7 separate regions of the Mus musculus genome follow, and all the other regions are reported to be linked to region 1. Evidence: microRNA targets listed by miRTarBase, many of them from high-throughput screens and not tested one by one. Region 1 holds a microRNA gene; each other region holds the end of a gene's coding sequence.
Evidence for each region. The annotated mature microRNA mmu-miR-301b-3p reads CAGUGCAAUGGUAUUGUCAAAGC and lies in region 1 at 2,175-2,197, shown strand. An mRNA with a match to its seed (bases 2 to 7 or 8) in the 3' UTR can be bound and repressed. Matches are read on the target gene's strand: a 7mer-m8 pairs with bases 2 to 8, a 7mer-A1 pairs with bases 2 to 7 and ends in A, and an 8mer does both.

Region 2: miRTarBase lists Usp3 as a target of mmu-miR-301b-3p. The part of its 3' UTR that is shown has no 7-base or 8-base seed match.
Region 3: the mRNA of Sh3rf3 is a reported target of mmu-miR-301b-3p. Seed matches in the 3' UTR shown: 7mer-m8 at 1,393-1,399.
Region 4: miRTarBase lists Pex11a as a target of mmu-miR-301b-3p. Seed matches in the 3' UTR shown: 7mer-A1 at 2,453-2,459 and 7mer-m8 at 2,287-2,293.
Region 5: the mRNA of Sec63 is a reported target of mmu-miR-301b-3p. Seed matches in the 3' UTR shown: 7mer-A1 at 1,023-1,029 and 7mer-A1 at 2,870-2,876.
Region 6: miRTarBase lists Atp6v1h as a target of mmu-miR-301b-3p. The part of its 3' UTR that is shown has no 7-base or 8-base seed match.
Region 7: miRTarBase lists Tmem9b as a target of mmu-miR-301b-3p. Seed matches in the 3' UTR shown: 7mer-m8 at 3,198-3,204.

What each region holds. Positions count from the first base shown.
Region 1 is chr16:17,122,538-17,126,616 of GRCm38, reverse strand. It overlaps Mir301b (microRNA 301b), which reads left to right and starts at 2,121; the gene lies at 2,121-2,217. 2610318N02Rik (RIKEN cDNA 2610318N02 gene) reads left to right here and starts at 1,415. Exons shown (of 7, transcript NM_001358255.1): 1 at 1,415-1,627. Mir130b (microRNA 130b) reads left to right here and starts at 2,475; the gene lies at 2,475-2,556.
Region 2 is chr9:66,514,729-66,518,807 of GRCm38, reverse strand. It overlaps Usp3 (ubiquitin specific peptidase 3), which reads left to right. Exons shown (of 15, transcript NM_144937.4): 15 at 230-4,079. The coding sequence ends at 395. Among named protein-coding and RNA genes, the nearest start is that of Fbxl22, 2.2 kb to the right of the region's middle.
Region 3 is chr10:59,135,479-59,139,557 of GRCm38, reverse strand. It overlaps Sh3rf3 (SH3 domain containing ring finger 3), which reads right to left. Exons shown (of 10, transcript NM_172788.3): 10 at 642-3,738. The coding sequence ends at 3,570. Among named protein-coding and RNA genes, the nearest start is that of Gm23223, 58 kb to the left of the region's middle.
Region 4 is chr7:79,733,712-79,737,790 of GRCm38, forward strand. Pex11a (peroxisomal biogenesis factor 11 alpha) reads right to left here. Exons shown (of 3, transcript NM_011068.2): 3 at 2,247-4,079. The coding sequence ends at 3,631. Among named protein-coding and RNA genes, the nearest start is that of Plin1, 3.0 kb to the left of the region's middle.
Region 5 is chr10:42,828,792-42,832,870 of GRCm38, forward strand. Sec63 (SEC63-like (S. cerevisiae)) reads left to right here. Exons shown (of 21, transcript NM_153055.3): 21 at 100-3,723. The coding sequence ends at 243. Among named protein-coding and RNA genes, the nearest start is that of Scml4, 30 kb to the right of the region's middle.
Region 6 is chr1:5,161,374-5,165,440 of GRCm38, forward strand. Atp6v1h (ATPase, H+ transporting, lysosomal V1 subunit H) reads left to right here. Exons shown (of 14, transcript NM_133826.5): 14 at 732-1,176. The coding sequence ends at 792. Among named protein-coding and RNA genes, the nearest start is that of Atp6v1h, 80 kb to the left of the region's middle.
Region 7 is chr7:109,733,107-109,737,106 of GRCm38, forward strand. Tmem9b (TMEM9 domain family, member B) reads right to left here. Exons shown (of 5, transcript NM_020050.1): 5 at 2,730-3,885. The coding sequence ends at 3,730. Among named protein-coding and RNA genes, the nearest start is that of Ascl3, 3.4 kb to the left of the region's middle.

The DNA of each region.
Region 1 (4,079 bases):
AGAGACCAGAAGACGATACTGGACTGGAGTTACAGATGCCTTTGAGACAACTTGTGGATCCTGGGCATGGAACCTGAGTCCTCTGGAAGAGCAGCCAACCCTCTTAACCACTGAGCCTTCTTTCTGGTGAGCCCCCTCTCTTTAAAGACAGTATTTCATGTAGTTCAGGCTGGTCTTGAACTTCTGGCTCTTTTCTCCACTTCCCAAATGTTGGAATTTCTGGATGTTTTATTTTGTATCTGTGTGGAGCGATGCAGTGTGGTGGCTGTATCCCCAGTACTGCAAAAACCTAGGAGGATTACCATAAGCACAAGGCTAGCCTGGTCTACTCTGTGAGTTCTCAACTAGCCAGCCGTGATATACGATGTCTCAAAAAACCAGCATTCTTTTTTTTCCCAAAGAAGACAAAACAATGTAGGGACTGAGATATTATGGGTCAGTGTTAATAGCATTGGTTGCTCTACCAGAGCATATGGGTTTCATTTCCAGCATGCATGTGTTTGCTTACAATCCTCTATAGTTTCAGTTGCAGAGGATAGAAAGCCTTTTGACCTCCCTGAACACTAGGCATGTACATGGTGGTACAGACAGGCAAACAAAGCACCCATACACAAAAAATTACATTTAAAATTAAGTGGACAAAATGAGTTCTTGAAGATCGAAAACCAGCTCTGTCTGCTTTAAAAATATTTTCTTTCAGCCTTTGAGCTGGGGGGTAAAGATTCCCTGTCTCATATGGATATAACTAGGGGTAAAGCTCAGACGCCAGCTGCAAAACTCTGTTTTTCCCTTCGCTGACAGAACTGAGTAGAACACCTCAGGTTCTGGGTGCTAGGTGCTGTGTATCTTTGGACATATTAGCTCAGAAAGGTCACTTAATGAACTCTTACCCATAAAGTGGTTCACATTCTCAATGACATCAATGACATCAGAGCATTTCTTCACTTACAAAAAGTGCCAGGGCCTCCTCAGCCCAGCCAGAGGTTTCCTGATGACGATGCTCTGAAGTTGGACAGAAAGAGGGAAGGCCACGGTTTTTAAGTAAATGTCCCATCCTGGAGGAGCAATGAACAAATTTCTCGCGAAATACGAAGCATCCCCTAGGGGTTCATTCAACCGCTGGCTTGGCCAAAGGACACTTTGCCGGGATCTCAGAGCCCTCGCTAATTTGGTGAGCTGTGTAGTAAGCATGGACGCGCCCTCATGAGTATCACTATAATAACTACAGAGAAATGAGCTGGGAAAAGGCGGACAGAGCTCCTTTTCAAGAGTTATGAATGAGGAGAAAGTGTTTGTAGAACTCATTGTTAAAACGGTGGAGCCAAAACTCGGGCGCCTGGCCAATCGGAGCCTGGAGGCTATTTTGAAATCTTTCCAGCAGCAGCCAATAGGTGCGCAGGAGGCAAAGCTTGGTGTAGGCGCAAGCCAATGAGGCTGGCGCTGTGCCTTGAGGCCCGGGGCTCGGCCCTCGGGACTGTCAGATGGTTAAAGATGGAGCCGAGGGAGAGAGGGCGCCACGAGGTGCTGAGGTGCGGGGTTGTCCAGATATGACGGGGCCGCCGCCTACCTGGATCTTCCACTAAGCTTCACCTTGTCCCCCTGGTGAGAACAAGAGGTGTCTGTCCACGTGAGTAACTGGTCTGGGATAGGGTGTGCGGTGAGGCCAGGGAAACTCCAGATGCCAGGAAGCCCTAGTTCTGCTCTTCTAGGCAGGAGAATCTGTTAGGATAGAGTGCAGAACTCATACTGGGGGAATGGACCAAGGACCGGATCTCGGACTCCAAGGGCCTCACGTGCAAGGAGTGAAGTATCCCTCTTATTCTAGTTCTGGTCTGAAACAGGGTACAAGTAGTCCCACTGTGCTCCCCTCTGCAACTGAGCGCAGGCCTCTCTCCTTTGTGTTTGAGCCCCCTCGGGTGCTCGCCCTTCAGCTCCCTCCTTGGAGTACCTCACCAGAATCAGAAGCCTGTTAGAGAAAGTTTGAGTTCCCTGAAGTTAATAAGTCCAGAGGACTGCATCCGGGCTGGAATCCCGTCTGTTCTCCGAGCTTGGATAGATGTCCCACCCACCCATGGTGGTTGAATTTCCAGCGCAGCCCTGCGTGCAGCGAGGGCGATGGATTTCCTGCTGGCTGCGGGTGCTCTGACTAGGTTGCACTACTGTGCTGTGAGAAGCAGTGCAATGGTATTGTCAAAGCATCTGGGACCAGCCTCGAAGACCACCTCACCTACTGTTCCTTCTTTCTTCCCTTTCCAGGCCTGGCCCCTCAGGCCTGCAGGCCGTACCCTCCCCCTGCTCATTTTACTCTCTTCTCCATGGAAACTTGAGATTGTAGCCAGGCCCGTGTCTCTGGGGTCAGAGGGCATCCTTTGCTCAGGCCGAGGCTCCGCCCAGGTGGGCATGCGTTCTAGGTCTAAGATCCCACTCCAGCCACCCCAACTCCCCATGCCCCGCCCCACCCCGTGAGACTGACAGGCTTGTTGGACACTCTTTCCCTGTTGCACTACTGTGGGCCTCTGGGAAGCAGTGCAATGATGAAAGGGCATCTGTCGGGCCAGCTAAGGAGCCTGAGGAACAAAAGGGTCAGTGCTTGGATCATAGTCTTAGATAGAGATAGCTATCTCTAGCTAAAAGGATAAGGTGGATGCTGAGAACCATATTCCAAGGCTGGAACCAGTACAAAGGGGAGACCCCAGATTTGGAAAGGCTCCAGTCTCAAGCTCTTAGCCCCCTCCCCCCAGGTTAAGATAGGGGAGTCTGCTGCAGGGGGCGCGGCGGTGAGTGAATGGTAGGTAGCTCATGCCTTAAATCTCAGCACTTGGAAGGCAAAGGCAGGTGGATCACCCAGATCTAGGGCATCCTGGTCTACATAGTGAGTTTTAGGACAGCCAGGGATACACAGAGAAACCGTGTTTTGAGAAAAACCAAATTAACTAATTAATTAATTAATCAATTAAAAAAGAAAGAAAGATTGGTGAGCCCATGTCTGGAGGCTGATGCAGGAAGATTGTCTCAGTTTTGAAGCTGTCTGAAGAATCAAAACAAAACTAGGAACTCCAGGACCTTGTGGAGAGAAACAGATGTTCACCTCTTTGTATGGAAAAGGTTTGTATACCTTGCTTAGCCTTGACTGCCTCGGGAAGAACTGGACTCAGCCTTTCCTGAGATAACCACACCTTGGGTTCACACCTTGAGGCTCAGAAGAAGTGTCCTGCCTGGGCCAGATGGATGGACTTGGAACAAGAAGCCTGCAGAGTAGGCCTGCCAGCCATGTCTGCTTGCTCCTTTACAAAGAGGGTATGTGCTGAGTAGGAGAGGCATGGAGGTGTCTGGTATGTCTGCTTTCCAGACAGGGCTGGAGCTCATTTTTATTTATTTATTTATTTATTTATTTATTTAATTTATATGAGTGCACTGTAGCTGTCTTCAGACACACCAGAAGAGGCCATCGGATCCCATTACAGATGGTTGTGAGCCACCATGTGGTTGCTGGGATTTGAACTCAGGACCCCTGGAAGAACAGTGCTCTTAACCACTGAGCCATCTCTCCAGCCCTGGAGCTGAATTTTTAAGGATGCCCGATCCTTAGTGTGCTTGCAGAGTTACCTTTAGCGGCAAGACCCAATGGCCCATGCCTTTGAATGCAGCACAGGGAAGGCATGGGTAGGTAGATCTCTGTGAGTTCAAGGACAACCTGGTCTACCCTGCACGTTCCAGAAGAGCTATATTTACATGGTAAAGCCCTGTTTCAATGCACCCACCCCTCTTTTACAAACAAACAAAAACCTAGTAGGAGGTGGTCAGGCCTGCCTCCTTGAGAGGAGGCCCAGGCTTCCAGATTCCCTTTTGGGAATAGATTGAGAAAATCAGCCTTAATAGTACTCTAGCTCCACAAGTCCTGGCACCCATGGGGACTGCTCTGATACATAATGAGTCTCAGGCCTGACGGAGGGCTTTGATGGGGAAGAAGCAACCACACTCCTTTGTGGCTAGGGTAGACGTGTGTCAGCAGCTGTTGCCACAGCAGATCCATCCTGAGGTGCTAGGAATCCTAACATGTGCATATCTTACATATCTTA
Region 2 (4,079 bases), not on the chromosome of region 1:
GTGACTTCTGTAGACTTTTCTCATCGTTTGAGACAGAGTCTCACTATGTAGCCCTAGAACTTACCATGTAGAGTAGGCTGCCCTCAAACTCACAGAGATCCAGCTTTCTCTGTCTCCCAAGTGCTAGGATTAAAGGCATGCAACACCAGACCTTTTTGTGTTTACTATTTTACTCTATAGTCTTTTTTTTTTTTTTTTTTTTTTTTAACTTTTTGCCTTTTCTTTACAGGGTTGGTTCTGGACATTACACAGCATATGCAGTTCACGAAGGCCGCTGGTTCCATTTCAATGACAGCACTGTGACAGTGACTGATGAGGAGACCGTTGGGAAGGCAAAGGCCTACATTCTGTTTTATGTGGAGCGTCAGGCCAGAGCTGGAGCAGAAAAACTGTAATACCTCCTGACCATGAGTCATCAACTACACCGGACAACATTTCCATTTTCCATAAATACTTGATCCAAGAGTCAAATTTCAGTATGCACTTTTCAATTTCCAGTTTGGGGTTTAGTTTGGTCAGTGGTAGTGACTTACCCAACATGAGCACCAACTAATTTTTGTTGTTGTTCTACCAGAAAACCTCAGCAGGCATTTTGATTGGCTGCTTTAGTTGTAATAATTCAATTTTTATATGTAGTTTCCAGAACTTAGTTCTGTTTGACTTTTTATATTAATGTTTTCAGTTCTCACCGAGGCACATTTGCATTTGCTCTATACTCACATGCTGAGAGCCACCCTGACTGCTGTCTTCATAGCAGCCAGGTCAGCGACTCCATCGTGAGGATCGTGTGTGCAGGTCTGTGGCCCACCGGTTTCACAGTGACTGCTCAGGAATTCCTTCCGACTGCAGACCAGGCCGTCACCACTGCTGTGTCTCAGGGTTGCTGTGCCTCAGCATTAAATAACTCTGCCAGTCCCGTTGCACCTGTGCTAGAGTTCCAGAACTGCTCCATTTCTTGTCTCTGGTCTTCTTTTAATATTTTCTTGGGGGCAGACAGGCTAGGAACACTGACAAGTGCAAATACGTGTTTAAAAGCCCTGCGATTCAGCTGCATGGTAGAGGTATGTCCTGTGGGTGGATCTGTCTGACCATCAGAGGTGAGGTCTTACCCCCCAGACCTGACTTCCAGGCAGAAGTGGAGTCATAGAAGCTCTGGGTTTTAATTCACTCCCTGCCTGAAGCAGAACCAGGTGAAAGTATATGTCTCTGAACAAGAATAGTTTTTATTAAATTCAGTAGCTTAAAAAATACTGTTCACAGAAATAGGTTAGAAGCACTATTTGGACCATTTAAAGAAGGCAGCTAGTGGCAAATGCTGGAGGCCAGTGATTCGGTTTGCAGGTATTGAAACCTTTAAGTCAGAGTGTACAACTCCAACACAGCCTGTTCCACATCCACCTCCTCGAGGGACAAAATGCACTTCATGCAGACTTTTTACTAATATTTTTTCTATTACAAGTAAGTTTGGTAGCTTTCCTTGTCCAGTGAAGTTGATGGAGACGTGGCTCAATTCCACATTAATATTAGCTACAGAAATCTTCATTCCCTCAGAACAGAAATTACATTCTGGATCAGTACCTTAATACACTAACTTGAATCCCTCAGTACAATGACCGTATGACTAGTGTGTCCTTGGTCACACTAGTTATGTCAGGGCTGGGTACAGGACAGTGCAGGGCAAGTACCTTTCCATAGGGTTCTCTTGCACAACACAGGTCTAAATTTTATGCAGAACAACAAAGCTGTGACATGTGTAAGCACTACAACTTAGATTTAGTGCAGGAAGAGGAAGTGTGCTGAGTTCCATGAGGTAGAGGCATGTGCAGCTCTAGTTCTGCTGGTTTGAGCCACAGATCGAGGGTCGAATGATTTGCTCTAATATATCAGAACTGTGATAACATCACAGCTAAGCCTAAATGAGTCTCATCTAACGTTGCACACAGCTCCCACTAATCCAGGCTCCTCTGGCATTTATATCTTTGCCTCTGACTGGGCAACTGTAATGACTTACACAGTACGCACACAGAGCTGGCACTGTCAAGCCAGGTGGAGCAGCAGCAGCAGACTGGGCCGCTCTGTGGGGAGAGTGGTCATTAGGCAACACTTTGGCATACAAGGGAATGAATCATCTCTGGAATTTTTGTAGCAGCTTTATTGCTTGGTTTTACTTAAGCAGCAATGGCTGAGTGACACCATGAAGACTCTTTGAGAAAGTGACTGCACCCATATGCAGTGCCCATCTGAACACCCATGATGAAGTACATGTGCCTATTTGTTTTAAATCTAGCCTTACTGCACCGGTTACAGGCTTCTCTCTGTACTGTCTAGGGCTTTCCCACGTGTGTTCTAACCTGCATGCAACTTTTGCTCAGAGCGTATGCTGAGGCAGGGCCTCATGCATATCCTGTCCTGTCAGCCCATGGCAACAGGAAACTCCAAGTCCTCCCACACAGGTGGGGATAGAAACAGTTTGTGGCAACACAAGTCTCTCCATGGTGGAGAACTCTAAGCTTATCCACTGTATTCTACTCAGTGTGTAGTGGCAGATGATGTAATTAAACCAGTCATATGCGCTGGCCCTGGTTGAGTGTCGTGTGTCACACCTGTGGTACCTGCTCAGATTTATTTCACTTCTTTGGTTTACTTTATATGTTTAACCCATTGTAACCTCTACCGTCCCCTAAACTCTCTCATGGTCCTCCAACTGCTGAAGTCACCTCTTGCCCAGGCTTTGGAAAGGCTCAGGTAGGAACTGTTTCCAGAGCATGGGTCTTCTGACAGCCCCGAGAAGATGCCACAGCACAGGAAAGAGGAGGCACATGTGTGTGTGACTGTCACCACTGGGCAGTAGCCCTCAAGGGAGTGGTGGCCATGCCAAGATCATTGGCCATTAAGACTTAGTAGTCTGTATGATGCCAAGATGTCATTGTGCACGTTACCATTCATTCTGGCTGCAGACGAATCACATCCTAGTCCCGCCTCACCAGCTGGGCTCTTCTGTGGATTGTTTCCAGGCAGAGCAAGCCGGGCAGTGGTGGCGCTCGCCTTTAGTTCCAGCACTCAGGAGGCAGAGGCAGGCGGATTTCTGAGTTCGAGGCCAGCCTGGTCTACAAAGTGAGTTCCAGGACAGCCAGGGATATACAGAGAAACCCTGTCTCAAAAAGCCAAAAAAAAAAAAAAAAAAAAAAAAGAGGAGGAGGAGAGGAAGGAAGAAGAAATGGCAGAGCAACAGCCATCAGGGGCCAGTCTTGTAGCCTACATGGGCAGGAGGAAAGGGGAGTAGTCATTAAGGGGTTCTGTGGAGTTCTTTCAGGGGAAGCTGTAGTAGTCTTAGGTTTCCACCAAGTTGTATGCACTTAGAGCAGCTTCATACTTCCAGATCTGCAGCACAGCTTCCTAAAAAGCAGGGCAGCTGGGGGCTGTGTGCAAGCATTGAAACCCATCAGACTTGCAGTTCACTTCCAGTTATTTACACTTCAATTAAGTGTTCAAAAATAGAAACTGCCCACCCTCACATATTGGGGAATGCTATCTAGGACAGATAATGAAACTCTGCAAATCACCCACGAAAAAGAACACATGCACCAGTCTGTCTGTCTCACACACACGTGCTAGCTTTTAAAATAACATTTCAGATGAATCTTATGACAGTTTAGGGTAAAAATGGAGCCATTTGGGCCTTGCCATTGGGGTTTAAAGATAGCTCATCTTTGCAAGGTAGCCATTAGTGTCCTGAGCTAAAGTACCAAGCATGATCCTCAGATTCCACTCACAGTTTGGGGCATGGTAAAAATGACCTCTTCCTAGCAAGGGTGAGCAGAGGAGCCGCACCGACACACTCTGATACCTAACAGCTAATACTCACTGTCCTGCTAGGAGAAAGGCTGCAAGCCCAGGAAGGGCTGTTGTCGCTAATTACCTCCAATGAAAACACCTTAGTAAAAGCCAAGAGCCCTGTGCTCAACACTTATCAGCTCAGAGGAAAAGAAATCCCTTTTAAGGAAAACTTGTAACTTCAATGGGCTGCTCTTCTGCCAGGACTTTCAGGCCCTCTGAACATAAGCCGAACCACAGATGGC
Region 3 (4,079 bases), not on the chromosome of region 1:
CAACTTCACTGCTGGCCACAAGTTCTTAGGATCCCTGTGCCCAGTCCTGATAGACACTGAGTCTGTGTCCCCCTGAAGGAGCAGAAGGTGACAAGCGTGAGTGTTGGGGCTGGCTTGGGCTTGCAGGCAGTGCCCTTATGATAGCTTGAATGAGAACACCACCCCGCTTTCTGCTCATATATTTGAACATTTGGTTCCCAGTTGGTGGACTGTTTAGGAGGATGAATTTGTGTGGCCTTGTTGGTGAAGATTTATCATTGGGGATGGGCTCTGAGGTGTCATAAGCCATGCCAGGTCCAGTCTCCCTCGCTCTCTGCCTGCAACTGAGCTCTCAGCTTCTGCTCCAGTCCCATGCCTGCCTGCCTGCCTGCCTGCCTGCCTGCCTGCCTGCCTGCCTGCCTGCCTGCCTGCCTGCCTGCCTGCCTGCCGCCACGCTTCCTACCATAATGATTGGGGATTACCACTCTGAAGCTTTAAGCAAGCTCCCAAGCGTCTCTTGGTCATGGTGTCTCTTCACAGCCATAGACCAGCAACTAAACCAACACCCTCAGTTCAGTGCCCCCCCCCCAGGGCCTGAATCCCAACCTCTCAGGCTCACGCCTACCCCACCTGCATTGGTCCCGTTATTGAGACACACAGCCTCTCCATGTTCATCTTTATTTAAAGACTCAGAAACACAGGCATCAGAGATGGCCACTACTGTCAATTCATCTAAAATCACACACTGACATTGGTGTATAATAAAAACATATGTGGGGTTGGGAGCACACGTGTGCACGTGTCTTTCTGTCTGTCTGTCTCGGTGTGTGTTGTGCAAAGTACAAGGGCTTCCACATCTACTGGGCTGATTTTGGGGTGCTCCGCCTTGTATTTACGCCTCACTATGGACCATCTTGTCTCTCGAGATCCATCAGTCCTCTGGAGGCTAGACTGTCCTGTCTCCTTGCTGACCGTCTATCTGAAGGGCTGAGAACTAAGGAGTGAAACCCACGTGGCCACCAAATACAAGTGTATGAGTAAGGGGCACATGCTGCTGGCCAGGACGGAATGTGAAGGTTCTAGATGAGGTGCTGGCTTCATTTTGGTGCCACAGACGTGTGTCCTCAAGGGAAGATGACCTTAGGAAAGGTACCTCTTTTCTGTCATTGGCTGTGGAAAACATGATTTTTGAAGGCTCAAGGGCTTGGGAGTGTTCAGAATACTCAGACCATGGGGTTCATTGTGTGTCTCAAAAGCCCCACCTGAGAATGAGCCCCAGGGCCCTGCTTCCCTCCCCATGCTGGTCGCAGTGTAAACTTTGCTAGGAGAGGATTCAGCTGATGTTTTCCACGGTACCTTGATGCTTTCCTCTGCTTTCTGTGAGGCTGCTACTTCCTCTATCACGAGGCAGCCAGTGCAAGAAAGGAAGACAGTTCCAAGTGAAGTCTGTTCTGTTGACTCAGAGTTGACCTTGTTTAGAAGGGAAAGGGACTTGCTTCATTGTCTGGGATCTGGAGTTAGCTCTGGTTCCACTGAAAACATGCCTCACCCAGGATGTAGATCTGTGTTACCTCCATGGTGGCAGCACGGAACCATACCTAGATCTTTTGTGCATGGATGGGCAAGTCATTTAGCAGTGACACTGAGTAGATATCATGTGGTTGTCACCGAGCCTGCATACAGGGGTCCCTATGTCTGAGATAGAGCGTCTCTTTGGCTCACAACAGTTTTCTATGTCCAATAAGGGTGCTATCACCTGGGGGAGGGTGAGACCGTCTGGGTGTGATTACATCCATGTGGTAGCCACCCGGCAGTCACAACTAGTTAGTCATATCCCCAGACAGAAACGTTGAGCATAAGTGCTCTTTATTTTATTATGAAAATCAGTGATAGCCTCTGCTACCAAAGACTTGATACAGGGCTGCATGATTTTATAAAAATGTACCCAGAGGCTCACAAATTGCTATTTTTTTTGAGAAATTTTTGAAAAAAAAAAAGTGTTCTTAGAGTGTGACACTCACACCTCCTGATAGCCATCAGGCTAGCCTCCTGGGCAGCAAGCTGTTGTGACAGTGAATATACGTAAGGCCTCAGAGTCAGAGACCAGCCCTCATTCCTTTCCAGCGTCTGCAGGCCCTGTAAGTCTATAGACAAGCATCAGGCTTGTGTTATCACTGTACCTTTGGTCTCTAGCAGATGAGTTTTGCCTGGCCTCAGAGGGCAAGCTATTTATTTTTGAAAAGGAAAAAAAAATCCTTTGCAAGAGAGTGGATCTGAGCTGTTGTAAAAGCTGCATTTTGGTAGAAAGACGTGCTTTCAGAATGCTATTTTTAGTCATTCTCTTTAAAGCAATCAAAGGAAGCTTCTGGGGTCAGTGTGTGTCTGTGTGTGTGTCTGTGTGTCTGTGTGTGTGTATGTGTGAGTGTGTGTGTGTTGTCTATGTATGTGTGTGTGTCTGTGTGTGTGTGTGTGTCTGTGTGAGTGTGTGTGTTGTCTGTGTATATGTGTGTGTGTCTGTCTGTCTGTGTGTGTATATATGTGTATGTGTCTGTCTGTCTGTCTATGTGCATTTTCTGCCACACACAAAGGCAGAACCCACTCCTTCATTTGTTTCCAGTTTTTTAGTCATAGCAATCACTCTCATCTAGATGGAGCTTGTGGGTTAGCTATTTCCAGCCGTTTGGGAAGACGCTCCGACTCCATGCACCCTCTCCACAGACCCTCCCTCTCGCTGCATGGAGCACCAGCCAGCATTGTGATATTACAGATAGGAATTCCTCAATATGCTCCAAACTTCATCTGGGAAATATAGAAAACTTTCCTTTGATGTTACTTCTTTTTTTCCCCCCTTGACACTTACCCAGGTTGGTTTTACAAAAAATCAGCACCAGATGTATGAAAAATATGCAGCGTCTGACCTATTAGAAATATATAAAGTCTAAGAGTTGTACATTAAAAAGGTGTGCCGTAAGAAGGAAGCAGTGTGAAGACAGCGGCGGAGGAACTGGACGGTGCACCTCATTATCCCAGTAGGAGACAAAGACAAGAGGGTTCTGCTCCAGTGCCCCACAGGACCCCACTGGACACCTTGGGAGGCTCACAGCCCTTCTATGAGGCTCCTGAACCATGAATGCCCTGGCGGTGAGGCCTGGTGGTAGGTGACAGAGGTATATAGAGGAATGGTACCCAGGGCAGGCAGGGAAGATGCTCTTCTTGCTGTCAGCCCTAGCACATGGCCCAACTCTATACCCTCCCGGGCTCCCAACCTTACACAATAACGCTTTAGCCGCTGGGTGACAGAGCAGCGCCTTTGTCCATGTGGGTAACATTTTCTGTGCTACTGCTCACTCAGACTCATGGCGTGGTCTTGCAGGACACTCACATGTGCTTCCAGTAGGATGTCACATGAGGATATGGCCTATCTTCACAAACACGCCATGGCCCATGTGTGCTTCCAATAAGGACTTCACGTGAATCATCGGCTTGTTTCTGGCCGGTGCTTTAGAAAGAACCTCGCTCGGACTTTGGTGATAAGGCGGGCATCCTCTGCTCTCTCCAGGACAACAGAAGCTAGCCATGAGCAGTGGTCCTCAGAAGCTCTCCACAAAGCTGCCTGGGAAGAGACCTGTGCGGCCATTCCGCTGCAGTGTCCCCTTGAACCAGCCGTCTTCATGCTTCTTGTGCACGAAGACGATATCACCTTCCTTTAGCTCGATCTCCGCTTCACTCTGTGGAGGGTAGGAGACCACCACACGGTACCTGGGAGGGCAGAAGAAACTGTGTGAGCAGAGGGGTGGGCTTTCCCTCTAATCCCCCGTAGCCCACAGTGAGCTCCCTATCCCCTCCGCCCCTCCAGTAAGTTCTTACAGTGTGCCATTACATTTTATGGTCTGTAAAATTATTTGTAAAATTTCCCAAAGCTCTTTACCTTGTCATCTAACCTCCCTTTGAACAGTTGTTGGTCATGGAGGTATTCAGGGGCCTAGAATAATATAGGCCACTGCCACTGTCACTGTCTGGCATCAGAGCCAGGCCATGGAACTGTAGCTCTAAAGACATCACAGGCTCCAATTGTGGAACATAGGGAAACCAAACTGAAG
Region 4 (4,079 bases), not on the chromosome of region 1:
AGGGAGGGAGGGAGGGAGGGAGGGAGGGAGGGAGGGAGGGAGGGAGGGAACTTTACTTAGCCTGAGATGCCACCAGAACAAGAAGGAGGAGAACTATTTGGTTTTGTTCACTTATGTCTGGACAAGTAAAGGTGTTGACAGCTGGTTTGGTTGGTTGGTTGTTGGTTGGTTGGTTGGTTGCTGGTTGGCTGGTTGGCTGGTTGGTTGGTTTTGCCAACCAACAGCACCCAGACAGCCAAGAATTATCCGTTGCTATTCCTTCCTCAACAGGAACTCAAGCCCAAACTCAAACTTTAGTTTCTGATTAATGTTGATGGAGCACTGTGGTGCCAAGCTGTGTCTTTAGACCAACTAGAAAGGGCCTCGTAATCACAGTGAACGAGAGGACGGCAGCACGGTTAGTCCCTATTCACCAGAGTTGATGTTGTTGAGTCTACTAAGTTGTTAGTATGGGTAACAGGATGGAGAGGCACTGAGTAGGGTCACCAAAATGGCTCAGCAGGTCAAGGTGATTGCCACCAAGCCTGGCTGCAAAGTTCAATCCCTGGGTCCCAAAGAATTGAAGGAGAGAATTGACACTGGCAAGATGTCCTTTGACCTCCATATGCATGCTGTGACATTTGAGCATGTGTATAAGTGCGGGTGTGTCCAAGTGCACACGAATACACACATACACACACACACACACACACACACACACACACACACACACACGCACACACACGCACACACACCCCAAATAAATGCATAAATGCAATAAACAATAAGGATGTGAGAAAGGCTACCGATAGATCCTTGGTAGTAAATTTTATCTTCAGTATAATAAAACAGGGAACAAGATGCCAGGAAAGGGAGGGGTGTGGAACAAGGAGCTTCCAGAAGAGGTAATGAATATGTCATGCATTTGATACTTATTAATCTTGGTCTGAGCCTTTGGGCTGTAAGACAGCAGTGGGGAAGGAGGGGAGCGTGTAAAGTGGCCTCTGCCTTTGCTTCAAGGTTCAGGACGAGTAATCTGGGAGACTTGCATCTGGACACAGCCCAGGCTAAAGGGCAGCCTGCCTTCCCAGGCAGTGGCTTTGGGCCAGAGAGGATATAGGGCTCTGTGCCTGAAAGCTCTGCTGACAAAGCCGGTCCTTTGGCTGCTTCTGTACGGATTCTAGGATGTGGGTGAAAGGTGACAAGGGAAAGCGCCAGGCAGATCCTAAGGGCGAGGGTGAGAGGCGGTTCGCCAACACCACAGGGGGATGGGCAGAGGAGCTATCTCATGCTACTCCTCTCCAGGAGAGCAGAGGTCTTGACCACTCTGTGGACAGGTGGGTCCCCAAGCCAAGCAGGGCACTGAGACGTGTGCTGTGTCAGTGCTCAGCAGTGATGCACAACTGTTGGTGTGCTGCCCTGTGCTGCCCTGTAGCTGACAATGTTGGTTTCTTTAAAGAACACAGAAATAGTGTGGGAATATGTTTTCGTTTCAATCCCAGGTTTGGAGGATATGAGGCTGCTTAACAGCCGGGGACTATGATTTGCTTCATTCTTGGATGCTGTTGGTTGAGGTTGGTTGCGGTTGGTTGCGGTTTGTCAAGTAGTCGCGTGCAAAGAGACAAAAAGAGGACATTAGATATCCTGATGGTGAAGATCAAACTTGCCCCGAGGAACTCAGTGCCCCGAATCAGCAGGCAGTAGTCTAATAACATGGTCGTCCCTTTTCCTATCCTGGGCTTGACTCGGGAATTTCTTTCTCTCCTACCTAGTGTTGGGGTTGAAAGGGAAGAGGGGTGGAAAAGGGTGGAAGAGAAAAGAACCCACAAAGTAGCCACAAGCCCAGCTACACAGCTCCCCAGGGCTTCCCAGTGTTTGAAATCCCTCACAAATGTGGACCCAGGTAGAGAGGGTTAGCTGAGGAGAAAGATAAGAGGATGAGGTAGCAGGGCCCACTGAGATTCCAGATTCTAGAAGATGGCAGTTCTCCACCCTCCCAACACTGTCTCTAATGTGCAAGACCCAAAGCATCAGAAGCGACAGCCACGCAACACTGCCATGCACTGAAGGCAGGCTTCTCCAGGAAGCTGGCCAGCCCCTGCCAGGCTACTGTAGAGCATCTTAGCAGGGATGATTTGGACAGATCTGTAAGGGAACCTCTCAACCCAGAGCCTCAACATAGTCCCTGTGCCTTCCTCCCAGCCTGCACCTTGTCATTCCTGAGTTCCCACGGACTCCAGTGCAGACACACTCACAGACGCAGGAGTCAATTTTATCTAGAAATTTATTAGACATAATTAAAGTTACAGTGCAAATAGGCATTTGCTGGTATTTGTCTTGTTTTAGCCACTTTAATCTCAACCCCCGCCCCCAAAGTCTTCTCAAAGCACATTATCATTTTAAAAGTAGAGAATGCCAAGGGCCTGAGTCCACTTTTCAAGAATCACCTTCACATTTATGGGAAACAATTGCTTAGTGCATAGTTCTCATTTCCACTTAGTAGACATGACCCGCCTGCTGGCCAGTGTCTCCCACACCACACACCTAAACCAACCAAACTCAAGACAGGAAGACTGAACCGTGAAGTGTGAACACGGGCAAATGCACTGACCCGGTGTCCCCACGACCCCTCCACTGGCCCTATTGCTCTTTCCTGTCCCTCTCAGTTGTCCTGAGAAAACCAGATTTGTCACAGAAAACTGACGTTCCTACATCTATAGACAGAAAAAATTTAATTCTCTTATTTTGATAAAAATTACTGTGGAATTGCATAAACTGTTATGTAGCTAAATCAAACCAACCTGGGTGAGTCTAGATTGCTTTGCATTTCATAGACTGGGACAGAAACCATCAACTGAAGCTCCAGGACTCGGGGGCATGTTAAGGGGCTAAGGGCTCTGAGCCCGGGAAGACCGCTGAAGGTAACGAGATCACGCGGATCATCCTGGAAAGTCTCCCAATGAATCTGTGCTATCAGCTTTGTTTTGTACTGTCATAGTCCTTATCTGTGACGGATGACATAACAGGCCGCGGTGACCTCCCACCTGCTTTCACCTCTGGTCCCTTCTGTGGCTCTTGCTTGCTCCTAGCATTACCGAGAGCCTTCTACCTGTGGACACAGCCTCCGCCCCAGAGGCACTGATGTTCTTCTGAGGCTACTGGACATGGTCAGGACACGACTGCAGCAATGACCGGGACCAGCAGGTTAACAGGCGCTGAGCCCAGCTCCCCTCCATCTCACTCCTGACACCCGTGGGAGTGGGGGATAATAACAGATGGGAGAAAAGGGAAAACTTAAGCAGAGCTGGGAGTGCTGTGCTTCAGCCCTGGTGTGCTTGTGTGGAATCAGGGACCTGTGCAACCTGATCTGTAATTCTAGTTTCTTTGGGTCTTTCATGGTTTCTCTCCTTTTCATCTTTATTTGTCCAGCAACACTAGGCTCTTACTATGTACATAAAAGATGCTCAGTAATGTTACCTGAACAGAAATGAAGTTACTGTAGCATGCGCCACTGCTGGTCCTACCTCTGCTCATAGGATGGTAAGGTGCTCACATGATTTTTTTTTTTTTTTTAAATTAAGCACAGTAAACATTGGGACAAAACCAAATGTTTGTTCCACTGAACTGCTAGCCTTAAAGCCTCCAAACACCCTAGCGGGCCTTCAGTTTCAGCTGAGGATACACTACCGTGAGGAGACCAGCCAAAGAGGATATGAGACCTCCAAGTCCTACCACGCCGAGATTGGACTTGTAGATCCCAAGCTGGTTCAGAGGGATCAGGATGTCACAGAAGTTCTTCACGGTGTCCAGGAGCAAGGGAGGATGTCGCTTTAGAGACTGGAATAGGAGGAGGAGGAAGGACTGGAGCCATTCAGTCTCTTCATTAGCCACGCTGTACTTAGGAGGGTCCCGAGAGGATTTCTCTCTCTTTGCTCTGTCACGTGCAACTTGTCCCATCTGCAGCAAGATCTCATACAGATCCCGGACCAGGCTCAGCAAGAGGAAGTAGTAGTAATGGCGAGCCGCCCACCTTTGCCATTTCTCTCTGTTGACTCCAGAGGTAAGACCCACACTCTTCGCCCAGAGGACAGTGTCACAGA
Region 5 (4,079 bases), not on the chromosome of region 1:
TCACTCTCTGTGATTGCCACAGTCAGAGAAAACCTTCACTAGATAGTGTTTTCATTATTCTTCTCCAAATTTCTGACATACGTATTTAATTGTTTATAGTTGGAAGTTCATGAGGCCAAGCCTGTGCCAGAAAACCACCCACAGTGGGACACAGCGATAGAAGGTGACGAAGACCAGGAAGACAGTGAAGGATTTGAAGACAGCTTTGAGGAAGAGGAGGAGGAAGAGGAAGGTGGAGACTAACCCGAGTGAGTGGACTACAGCGTTTGCACATCCTTGCAAACATTGCTGCTCTGTGAGAGGTCATAAAGCAGCAGCAGTGAGGGCTGATATGGAGGGAAGGGTTGCCGACTTTACTAGAAACGGATGCAAAAAAGAGGCCGCTGGTGCCAGGGTACAATCTGAAAAGGGTTTTTAAAGCCTTTCAGGTATGGGGTGGTGCGTTTATCTCATCTGCAAATGATAATAAATCCTTTGATGTTCCAACTGTCCAGAAGTGTGGGCTGTGCATTACCTGATAGATTATGCTCTCAGTAAAAGTCAAGGCACATGAAAACAATCTATAAATGAGGAGCTCTTCTTTGTTCAGCTTTAGTTTTAGTAAACATTAAAATATGATAAGCATCACACATGTTTTAAGTAATGTCTGCTCAAGTTTTTAATCTGTTAGTAAGCTCTATTATTCATTTATCAATATTTTACAAATGGTAAGATTGTAACAGTTCCATATGTAAGTTGAAACCATAATTTTCATCTATCTTGGCCATAACTTAGCATTCTCACACATTCCACATAATACAGAGGGCTACATTTTAGAATTTTCCATTCTTAATTGCCCAGAGTTAGCAGACGTTATAAAAGTGGCTTTTATTGGCTTACAGCCTCTTAAAGCCTCTGGTGGTGTCAGTGCAGGATCGAATTAATCCGATAAGCTTCAGGGCCAAAAGTTACTCCGGGACCACACGTTCTCTGACGCTCGGTTGATGTCATTCAGCCTTTTGGAAAAGGTTCACTAGAAAAGCTGCACTACATTCGTAGTTTAACCTACCTGACTCTGTCCGAAGCCTTCTGAAGACAGTAACTACAGCATACAAAGGAGGCACTTTTGTATTCATTTGGACTCCTGTTAATAAAATAGAAGTTTGACTCATTTTATGTTTGTAATCGTGTGTGTCTTTTTACTCCTAGAGAAAGGGCATAAATAGGGTAATGTTTTATTTTTCAACTCTAAAGTTTAATATTGTACCTCACTGTGGAAGTGACTGCTATCTCTGTCTACTCTTGGAAAGCCCAGGAGGAAGAACTCTTCTCTCTCATTTAGTACAACCTAAAAGATAGTGCTCAACACAGAGTAGAAATGTGTGTGTGATGAGTCACTGAGGTCAGAGGAATATTTTTATTACTAGACATAGAGGACACACACGTCTACAGTACTATAAGACTGACTGCAATAATCCTATCAAACTCTCCATAGGCCAAAGTACTGTTGCAATACTAACTTATCACCTGTTTATTTAAAAGGTTGCTACTCTTCCTGCAGAATTATCGCTGGTATTTTGTTACTACAGTAGTTGGAAATAAAATTTAAAAATTACCAAAAATGAATTTTTTGTTATTGTTCTAAATTTAAGATGTAACATGTAATAGTTGTTCTCACTGGAACCCTGCTTCCTTCCTCTGCAGGCCCGGGGGTGTGGCTTTGCCTTCAGATCGAGACTGGCTGGGAAGCTCCAGGGTTGGCTGGCGCTGTTAGACGCAGGCGGGAGGGAGGGAGGGAGGGAGTCAGCTGTGTCAGGTGAGCAGAGATGAACAGCCAGAGCTGTGCTGGTCACATTTCCTAGTTTTCCTGAGGGAGCCAGGCTCAAGGACCGCTTCTCTAGTGGCTCTTTGCCCTCTGAAAGGTATACAGACTGTTCAAACAACTGGCTTCTCTGGCTTGAGAGTCTCTGGTGAGGATTTTACACCCTGATAACAGCACCATGCTTACAAAACAGCATGTCTTCCATGATTGGAAATTCCAACAACTTGATTCTGTTTGCCTATGTTGTGATGTGTAGCAACATCTCAACCTAAAGGACCAGTTTTCCTCTTAACAAGTGCTTTGGGGAAAGACTCCAGCTAGGGTGCTCGTCTCTCTACTCAGTCACTTAACTCCACATCCCTATTTTTCTCTGGATTAATAATTTGTCTGAGTTTGCATTTAGTTGAAGGGAGATACAGAGTGAAATTGATTATGAAATTAAGTAGTTTACATTGTGTAAAAGTTTTAATCTCTAGATCTGCAGAATGTCTGTCAAAATAGAGCTTTCCACAAGGGGTCTTCCTGCTAGTGGAAAGTGTGGCAGGTGCGAAGGCTGACATCGGGCCACCTGACTGAGGTCTCAGACCCAAAAGCAGATGTTCGCAGTCTCTAAACTGTTGGGATTTTTGAGAAGACTCGAGACATTGAATTAAGATTCTGTGTGTGGAGCAATCTCGTTCTTTGCTCTGCCTTTCCCAGCATGCCCTAGGGGTGGAGAAGAACAGGCTGTTGAGTGGTACTGTCCTGCTGTGCTGGGACGTTCGGGCCTGTCCGACACCAGTTCCTGCCATGTGGAATGAGGCAGTGTACTGAGGCTTTCTTTGTGTGACTTGATTTGTGTTTTGTTTTTGAGACTCACTATATAGCCTTGGCTGGCCTTGACCCACAGTGTAGCCTAGGATGTGGACCTTGTAATCCTCCTCTGGCCTCCGTCTCCGGAGTAATAGGATTACAAGCAAGAGCCACCACGCCTGGTGTTAACGTATCTGCTACATGTATTCAGGTATCCGCTCCAGCTGCCTCCTACCATACACTGGAGTGTTGTTTAGTAATAATGTGTATTTCAAATGCACTACATGTTTTTGAGGGATTGTTTATCATGTATTTACTGAATTTCCATGTCCGGGCTCTGTCATTAGGCACTGTAGCTATATGGACACTCTCTGTGTTAAGGACTTAACTTGGACTTTTAGTCAGCACATGGTGGGAATTTCTCCTTTCTCCACTGGCACAGTGGCCAATACCTCCCCTTTCCTTTCCTTTCCTTTCCTTTCCTTTCCTTTCCTTTCCTTTCCTTTCCTTTCCTTTCCTGTTGTTGTTTGTTTGTTTGTTTGCTTGAGCTTGTCACTAGGCAGAGGAATTCTGTTTGAAGGAACTAGCTATTAAGTTAGGTGGCCTTTGCCTAGCCCCTTATCCCTTTTGAATAAAGCAACATGCATCTTTTGTTGTTAAATGCTTCTTTTTTGAAGCATTTTCTCGACTCTATGAATCCCCTATTTAGTCTGCCTTAAAGTGAAACAACGACCAGTGAACCGAAGCATGACATTTTACCAGCTGTGCAGTGGTTAGCTAAGTGTGTCTTGAGATGTTAGCATCATCATGCACTTAAACTTGACACTAGGGCTATTTTACAAACCTTAACAAACAAAACAGATGCCACCTTGTACATTATCCTGTTACTGAGCTAAAAATCCAAATAGCAATCATGGGCATGCTTTAGAACTGTGGTTTCAGGCAGGGGTATACATCCTGGGGGTATGCAGATACTAAGTCCATTGAGAAAATGTTAAAATAATGATTCTTTGTATTTAATCTCATCCTTTTAAATTTCTATTTTTATGTGTTTTATAATGTACATAATATATTGTACAGTTGTACACTTATATAATTTATAAATAAATAATACATTTATTGGTGCATTATTTTTTCCCTGATTTCGGTGTGTGATGAAAAGATTCGTATACTACTGTTTTGTCGTATAGATAGGATGACGTTTCAATGAGCTGAAGGTTGGGGCTTTTGGCACTCTGCTATCTGAGTTGACAGTGACATACTTTGACACCAGGAGGCAAGGCTTCATTTGTTGTATCTAGATCTCCTGCTGCCCAGAAGAACAAAGAGGATGGATGCCCTTGGAGTGGGGCCATGAAAGAGGAAGGACTGTACCTTCCATGAGCTGGGTAGTCATTAGCCGCTGCAAATTAAAGGCTGGTGTGGGAAGGACCATCCCTCCAGTGCAGAAGGAGCCACGTGCCTGCATGATGGTAGCAGTGACCAC
Region 6 (4,067 bases), not on the chromosome of region 1:
AGTAAAGAACATACCCATTCCCTCTGTCTCAGTGGTTCCTATATGTGATTTTAAGCTAAAGCTATGCATATTGTAGGTACATGTTCTATTTCTTTTCTCACATGTAACCTAAAATTCGTATTTAATTATGTAATTCAAGCTGGTTTTGAACTCACAATCTTCTTGCCTCTGCCTACTGAGTGCTGTGATTGTAGGACTGTACCTCTAACCTGCTGTCAGTTTATTTCCCGAAGGATCTAGACAGTTTGGAGACTATCACTTTAATTCATTTACCCCCGTATGTAGAATGAGAAAACTCCTTAGCCTCTGTGATAGCTGGGCATGCAATACTGTGGTCTTTGTAGGCCACAAGAGGAGCTCCTGATAGAGTCCTGACTTTTGCTGTTATTGTTAGGGATTTATTTTTATTGCCTTGTGTTCATCCCAGGCTATACATGTGTGTATTTTCTAACACTAAGAAATGTGTTTTCTATGGTATAAAGAAGCCCATTGGAATCTTAAGTTGGTTGCTAAGCTCAGACTGCAGATGTTAGAGTAAGTCCTTCATGTAAAGAGGGAAGTCAACCCTGCAAATGGCATTGCATGAAGACCTATCATCTCTGTGAACCAAGCTTTTGAAAGTTGGAAATGTGTAGTTTCCAGGGGTTATTTTATTAATAAATTTGAGTCTTGTCAGTGATTCTTTATATTGAAATACTAATTTGCCATGTTACCATGTTCTTGTTTTCTAGGGAATATCTTGGTAAACAACTACAGTCAGAGCAGCCTCAGACTGCTGCTGCTCGGAGCTGAGCTGACCTGTTCAGCCTTTCTGCACTTCCCATGGACCAGTGGAGTGAGAACCTCAGTCTTTAGGGTTAAAAGCAAATAGTTTTTAATTTAATGATTACTTCTTTTCTGTTGTATAGCTTTTCCCTATGGTAATTCCTGGGAGAATAAAAGTGTTTGCTTGTTAAATTGTATAAAATTAGATACTGCCTGTATTAGAGAAATATTACTGTTACTTATATTCTTTATGATTTTTGTATTTATTGTCCTCTGAAAATGAATATAATTAAAGGATTCTCACTCCAAACATGTTCTTAAATTTTGCTTATTCCTATTGTGGACTTTGAATAAACATCATTTATTTCAAATAAAAATTGGGAGAAGTGTTCCCAGGTGATGATGAGAAGTAAATGTTTTGAAATGATCATCTCCATCCCCCTCCCCCTCCCCCTCTCTCTGTCTTTTGCTCTCACTCTCTCTTACTCTTTCACTCATACGGACACACACATATGCACACATACATTCTACACCTTCAAGACATTACATAATAACAGGTATGTCCTGAGAAATACATTTTTTGGGCAATTTAGTCACTTTGCAAACATTACAGAATATAGGTACATAAGCCTGCTCTTGATTTGCCCTCTTGATGTAGTGAAGACAGTAAAAGGTGGATGAGGCTGTTGCTGTCAAAATATGGGAGATTATTTCACAGTAAACTTTAGGAGTACACTTTAATATAGTAACAATAAGTAAATAGACACATGGTTATTACCACTACCCACTGTAGTGTACTATACATTGTTCTGTATTCTTTTTTTCTTTTTTTTTTTTTTTTTTTTTTGTATTCTTATACCACTGCGAGTCAGCACTTAACTCTCATTATCAGCAGCATCACACAGGTGAGCAAGACCAAGTGCTCCAGTACCAGTATCTACAACATTGCTGTGTTTAGAACATTTTGCACCGTTGTGATTTTTATGGCATTATCATGGTATATGCAGTGTGTTATTCATGAATGACTGTGAAGTTAAAAAATTTAAACCTTGAATAAATTTTGTTAGACTTTGTATATTTTATTTCTTTTAGACTTTAAAAAGATCTATTTTTTATGAAACTAAAATTTAATAATATAAACATCACACTAAAGTTGGACAAGGCAAACTAAAAGAAGGAAAAGAGCCCTAAAGAAAGCACAAAACTCAGAGACCCATTTTTTCATGTACTTGGAACTCCCATAAAAACACTAAACTGAAAGCTATAATATATACGCAAAGGACCTGCTGCAGACATGTGCAGGCCTTGTGCTGCTTTGGTCTCTATGAATTTATATGATCTGTACTCAAGTTGGTTAGAAACCCTTGTTCTCCTGGTGTCATCCATCTCCTCTGGCTCTTACACTCCTGCCTTCTCTTCCTCAGGGTCCTCTGAGCTCTGAGGGTAGGGATTTGATGGAGATATTCCATTTAGGGCTGAGTGTTCTCTCTCTCTCTCTCTTCATAATGTCTAGTTGTGATCTTTGTACTTGTGCCCATTTGCTGCAGGAGCAAGCTTCACTGATGATGGCTCTATAAGGCACTGATACATGAGGATAGCTGAATAGAATATCACTAGGAGTCATTTTAGCATGCTTTTTTATTTCAAAGACCAGTAGTATTTGGTTTTACCTTAGGTCTCTGGGCTATAGTTGGCACACAAGCAGTGTTTGGAATGAATCCTATCTTGTGTGCCTTAAGCCAAATTACCCACAAGCTATATGCCACCATAACCCTGGCATATTTTGTAGGCAGGACAGCATAGTAGATTAAAGCTTTAGGCTTTAGCTGGGTTGGTGTATATGTTTTTCTTAGTAGCCTACTGAGTACTTTCCCATTTCAAAGACACTAGAACATAGTGGTGAAGGTTCTATGTAGGCATCAGATCGACTTCTTCATATTCAATGAGTTGTATGAGTGTAGGCTTAAGCAATGGGGCCTTGCTATCAGTTTGTGGAAAACAAACTATTATCTTGACAACAGCCTGGGTTGTATTTGGGTTTCCATGGTACCCTATGGCCAACAACTAAATTATATGTAACCCAGTCCTGGTATTCGAAGTTTTCTTTTGTGATAAGAGACAGCCAGCTGGGATTCTCTGTCTCCTGAATTTTTGAAGATTTTTCATTAGAATCACTGCCCTCAGTTTCCATACCACCCTTGAAATATCCCTCAGTTCCAGCTGTTCTCCCACATTTCCTCCCCCTCCACACCAGATCCTCCAGTTCTCCCAGTTTCCTCTGCTCCCAGTCTACCCATAAACTGTTTTCCCCTTGCAGGGAGGTATATAATTTGTTCCAGTATTTTCCTCTGTACCTAAACTCTTTGGGTCTGTTTGGTTATTTGCTTACTGGGTAATGTGAGTATATACCATATCTTTCTGGGTCTGGGTCTTGGGATGTTCTGTTTTGTTTTGTTTTTGTTTTTTGTTTTTTGTTTTTTTTTGTTTTTTTAGTTCTCCCTGTTTGTCTGCAAATTCCATACCTTTTTTTAAATAGTTGATTGTGAAAATACTTAATACATATTGTTTAATACTTGATTGTATAAATGTACCACATTGCTTTTTTATTCTGTCGAGGGATAACTACTTGTTTCCAATTTCTGTCTATTATGAATATAGTAGCAAAGAACATGGTTGAGCAAGTGTCCTTGTTGTAGGATGGAGCATCCTTTAGGTATATGTCCAAGAGTAGTATAGCTAGATCGTGAGGTAGAGTGAATTCTAACTTTCTTATCAGCTATACTGACTTCCATAGAGGCTATATAGGTTTTTAACTCTTACAAACAATAAAGCAGTGTTCTCTTTATTCCACATCTTTGCCAGAATGAGCTGTCTGGCACTTGTGTTATTAGCCTTAGGCACTTTGACAGGTGTAAGATGAAACCTCAAAGTAGTTTTGATTTTCATTTCTCTGATGGCTAAAGAACATAAATGTTTCTCAGCCATTTGAATTTCCTTTATAGAGAATTAGGCTTAAGTCTGTACCCCACTTTTTAATTGGATTTTTTCATTATTCAAGTTCTTTATATATTTTAGATATTAATTCACTATCAGATGTGGCATGGGTAAAAATCTTTTCCCATTTCTGTAGGCTGCTGCTTTGTCCAAATGATAGTGTTTGTCTTAATTAGGGTTTTATTGCTATGAACAGACACCATGACTAGGCAACTCTGATAAATGACAACATTTAATTGGGGCTGGATTACAAGTTCAGAGGTTCAGATCATTATCATTAAGGTGGGATCATGGCAGCACCCAGGCAG
Region 7 (4,000 bases), not on the chromosome of region 1:
CACACTGGGGAAGAAGGGTTTATTTGGCTTACACTTCCATATCATTGTTCATCACCAAAGGAAGTTAGGACAGGGACTCAAACCTGGAGGTAGGAGCTGATACAAAGGCCATAGAGAATTGCTGTTTACTGGCTTGCTCAGCCTGCTTCTTAGAGAGTCCAGGATGATCACCCATCAATCACAAATTAAGAAAATGCCTTAGAGCCGAATCTTACAGAGGGATTTTCTCAACTGAGATTCTCTTCTTTGCAGCGGATTCTAGATTGTGCTAAGTTGACATCCAAACTATCTAGCATGAGCTCGTGAGATGGCTCAGCAATTAGAGCTCTTGTTGCTCTTGCAGAAGACCCAAGTTCAGCTCCCAGCACCCACAAGAGGGAAGAGTGCTGCCTTTGCAGCAGCTGTAGCTACACTACCCATAGCTCGTGAGTTTCCTTGACGGAATACAATGTCTCTTCTGGTCCAGGCAGAAGATGATTAGTTTAACTACAGAAGCAAGACGGAGCTTGCTTTCTTTAGGAGGCCTGAAGAGCTGGGCAGTGGTGGCGCCTTTAACCCCAGCACTTCGGAGACAAAGGCAGGTGGATTTCTGAGTTCGGGGCCAGTCTGGTCTACAGAGTGAGTTCCAGGACAGCCAGGGCTACATAGAAAAATCCTGTCTCAAAAAACCCCCTAAATAAATAAATTTTTAAAAAAAAGCCTGAAGAACACCCCTTCTGGGTTGCACAGAGAGAACTATGACTTTTCTCTTTGCTTCTGTCCCACGTGAAACTAAAATTATATTATTTTAAATGTTAATTTTTCTTTTGTTTCACAAGACAGTATTTTTAAAGAAGAACATACAATCAAAGATATTTCAAAACTTTTTTTCCCTTTTGTGCTTTTTTAAAGATTGTGTGTGTGTGTGCATGGTGTTCTGCCTGCATACATCTCTGTGCATCATATAACCTGTGGAGGACAGAATAGGGCACTGGAGCCCCTGGAACCGGAGTTACAGGGTGTTTTGAGCCGCCATGTGGGTTCTAGGAAGTATACTCAGATCCTCTCCAAGTGCAGCCAGCACTCTTAGCACAGGGCCATCTCACCAGCCCTTCTTTTTGTTTTTGAGATGGGGAAACTTGACCAGTAGCTGAGGATAGCCCTGAACTTTTGGTCCTTCTCGATATACCAAGTGCTGAGATCACAACCACACGCTACCACATCTGATTTCTACTCTAAGGATCAGACCTGCGGCTTCATGCACTCTAAACAAGCACTCTACCCCAGCCATTTTCTCTTTTTAAGAACTTTATGAACGTGTGTGTGTGTGTGTGTGTGTGTGTGTGTGTGTGTGTGTGTGTGTGTGTTCACTTGTGGAACTCAGAGGACAGCTTGCAGGGTTAGGTTCACTCTTCAATCCAGTAGGTCCCAGGGATTCTCAGGTCACTGGGCTCGATAGCAAGCACCTTTACCTGCTCAGTCATCTCCCTGGCCCAGTTGTACTTTTACATTCTCCCCGGCCTGTTCACTGCTTGTACATAGGAAAGCACCAGATTGTTACATCCTGAAATCTTCAAACTTTGCTGGAATTGCTTACTAGTTCCAGAGGGTTTTGTTGTTTGGTTTTCTAGAAGCCAGCGTCATCCTTAAGCAGTCTCTTTTCCCTCGTACTCTGAATCTTTCTTCTTTTATGGCACGAGCTAGGACTTAAAGGTTGACGTTAAAAAGTGCACAAGAGGACATCCTTGTCTCCTCCATCTCAAGGGCGAGGACTCATAGGGTGAGGTTAAAGCATCACAAGAGGACATCTGTGCCTCCTCAATCTCAAGGGGAAGGCTTCTAACTTCTCGCCAGTAAATATAACTTACTATTACATAAATCTAATTGTTGCAGTTTTTCTTGAGATACTGGTCTCGTTCTGTAGACTATGCTGGCCTTGAACCCCTGGCAATTCTCCAGCTTGTTTCCCAAATGCTGGACTTACAGGAAAAGCCACTAAATTCAGTTTGTAATTCTTTATCTGGCTGGGGAAATTCCTCTTATTCCCAGTTTTGCAAGAGTCTTTCTTTCCTGTGTATGCAGGCCCACATGCATGTGGAGAACAGAGGACAGCCCGTGGGGTCACCCTTACCTCTCCACCTTGAGACAAGATGTATAAGAGAGATAGCTGGTCCACTCACACTACTGCATGCAGCTTTTTTATGAGGGTCCTGGGGATTTGAACTCAGGTTTGTGTGACTAGATTTTACCCACTGAGCAATCACTAAAGTCTGTCATATATATGCAATTTTTTCATATGTATATGTATGTGTATGTGTATGTGTATGTGTATGTGTATGTGTATGTGTATGTGTATGTGTATGTGTATATGTATATGTATATGTATATGTATATGTATATGTATATGTATATGTATATGTATATGTATATGTATGGGTCTCATTACACAGCCCAGAATGACTCTGAATCCCAAGCAACTCTCTTGTCTCAGCCCTCTGAGTGCTAGGCTTAAGGGCATGTACTACCATGCTTGGTTTGTGACATTAGAGGTCCTCAGATTGTCTGACTACTTGTGTACCTAGGAATACATTGTCTTTCTCTCTGCACCTACATACCCTTAACACAGTCAGTGTCTTACGATTTGGTTGCATAACATGTTTTCAAACTACAATATACCAATGTCTTTGTGTCACATGCTTGTCACACAGCACAAGAGAAAGGAGAAAGGCTGGAGAACAGAAACATTGATTGGGTTTTGTAAATTATTTTATTGTTACATTCCAAAGAGGATGTAGGAAGAAAAAAGCCAGTTATCCAATAACTGTTAGACTTCTCAGAGAGAGGCAATCTGAACTCTAGTCCTTGTTCAAAGCTGCCCACATCAGTTCAAAGAACTGCCTCTCAGCAAGACAGAAAAGGCTGATCAGTATTTGTACGTCAATCATCCAGGGAGGCTTGGGCTTAAGAGAAAATGTCTTTATTCTAAATGTTCAAGTCCTTAGAGCTACTAGAAGAAGATGAGGAAGACCACACACACTGAGACTGTGTTTAGGTATCAGTGTAAACTAGCAGATGGCCAGTCTGTTCTAGAACATGTTGCGTCAGACATCACAGTGCATGAAACAAATCTTCATTTTGTGAGGAGCCCCCAGGCATTTCAGATCCAACTGGTCATGAAATGCAGCCACAGGCTAACCAGAATCTTAGGTAATGTAGTCAGTGCAAAAGTCAAGTGGGGAGGCCAGCACGCTGACAAGCCAGCTACACTGGGACATTAACAAGTGTGAAGTAGAGGGTCTGAAGTATTCATAAGTCTGTCTGGAAAAGACACTTGAGAAGCTACTCAAGCACTCCCAAGGCATCCTTCCTTCTCTCTCCCACCACAAGAAAGAGAAGCAAAAACACACCTGGAAGTTATCTTGAACACCAAGTTAGAACTGTGTGGCAAGAAAGAGAGAGCTTGTTCCAGGCACGGGGCTTCAAGATAACTCACAGGCAGCTTAATTTTATTAGTAAAAGTCACAAGTAGGAAAAGACTTACTGGTTGACTTGGAACTGTGTGCTGTAAAAATGTCTCTATTAATATATTAACAGGAAAATACCAAGCATGGGGTTTGCTTCCAGTTTGGAGTCTTCCTCCATCCAGCAAGGATTTGTAAAAACAAACATGGCATTAAAACGCACGGACACCCAGACAATTCTTCCCAGTTGTCTGCGTGTTCTTCCTAGTCACCTGATTCCAGTTCCCAGTTAGCTGAGGACAACGTGTCGGTCGAAGACAGACTTTCGCTGCTCCTGGACCTGGAGCTTCCAGCGCTGCTGAGCGTACTCCACCTTGTTTAGAACATTGGCTCGGCTGCGAGAGCGGGCCAGCACATCATGGGCATTTGCAAAAGGCTGGTGATCCTAGGAGTCAAGGCAGAAGATATTAGAGATGGCAGGGCCAGCATTAAACATTCCAGAACAGCCTGTGGGAGAGACCTAGGGCAGGGTGTTCTAGCCCTTCAACAATCGGAAGCAG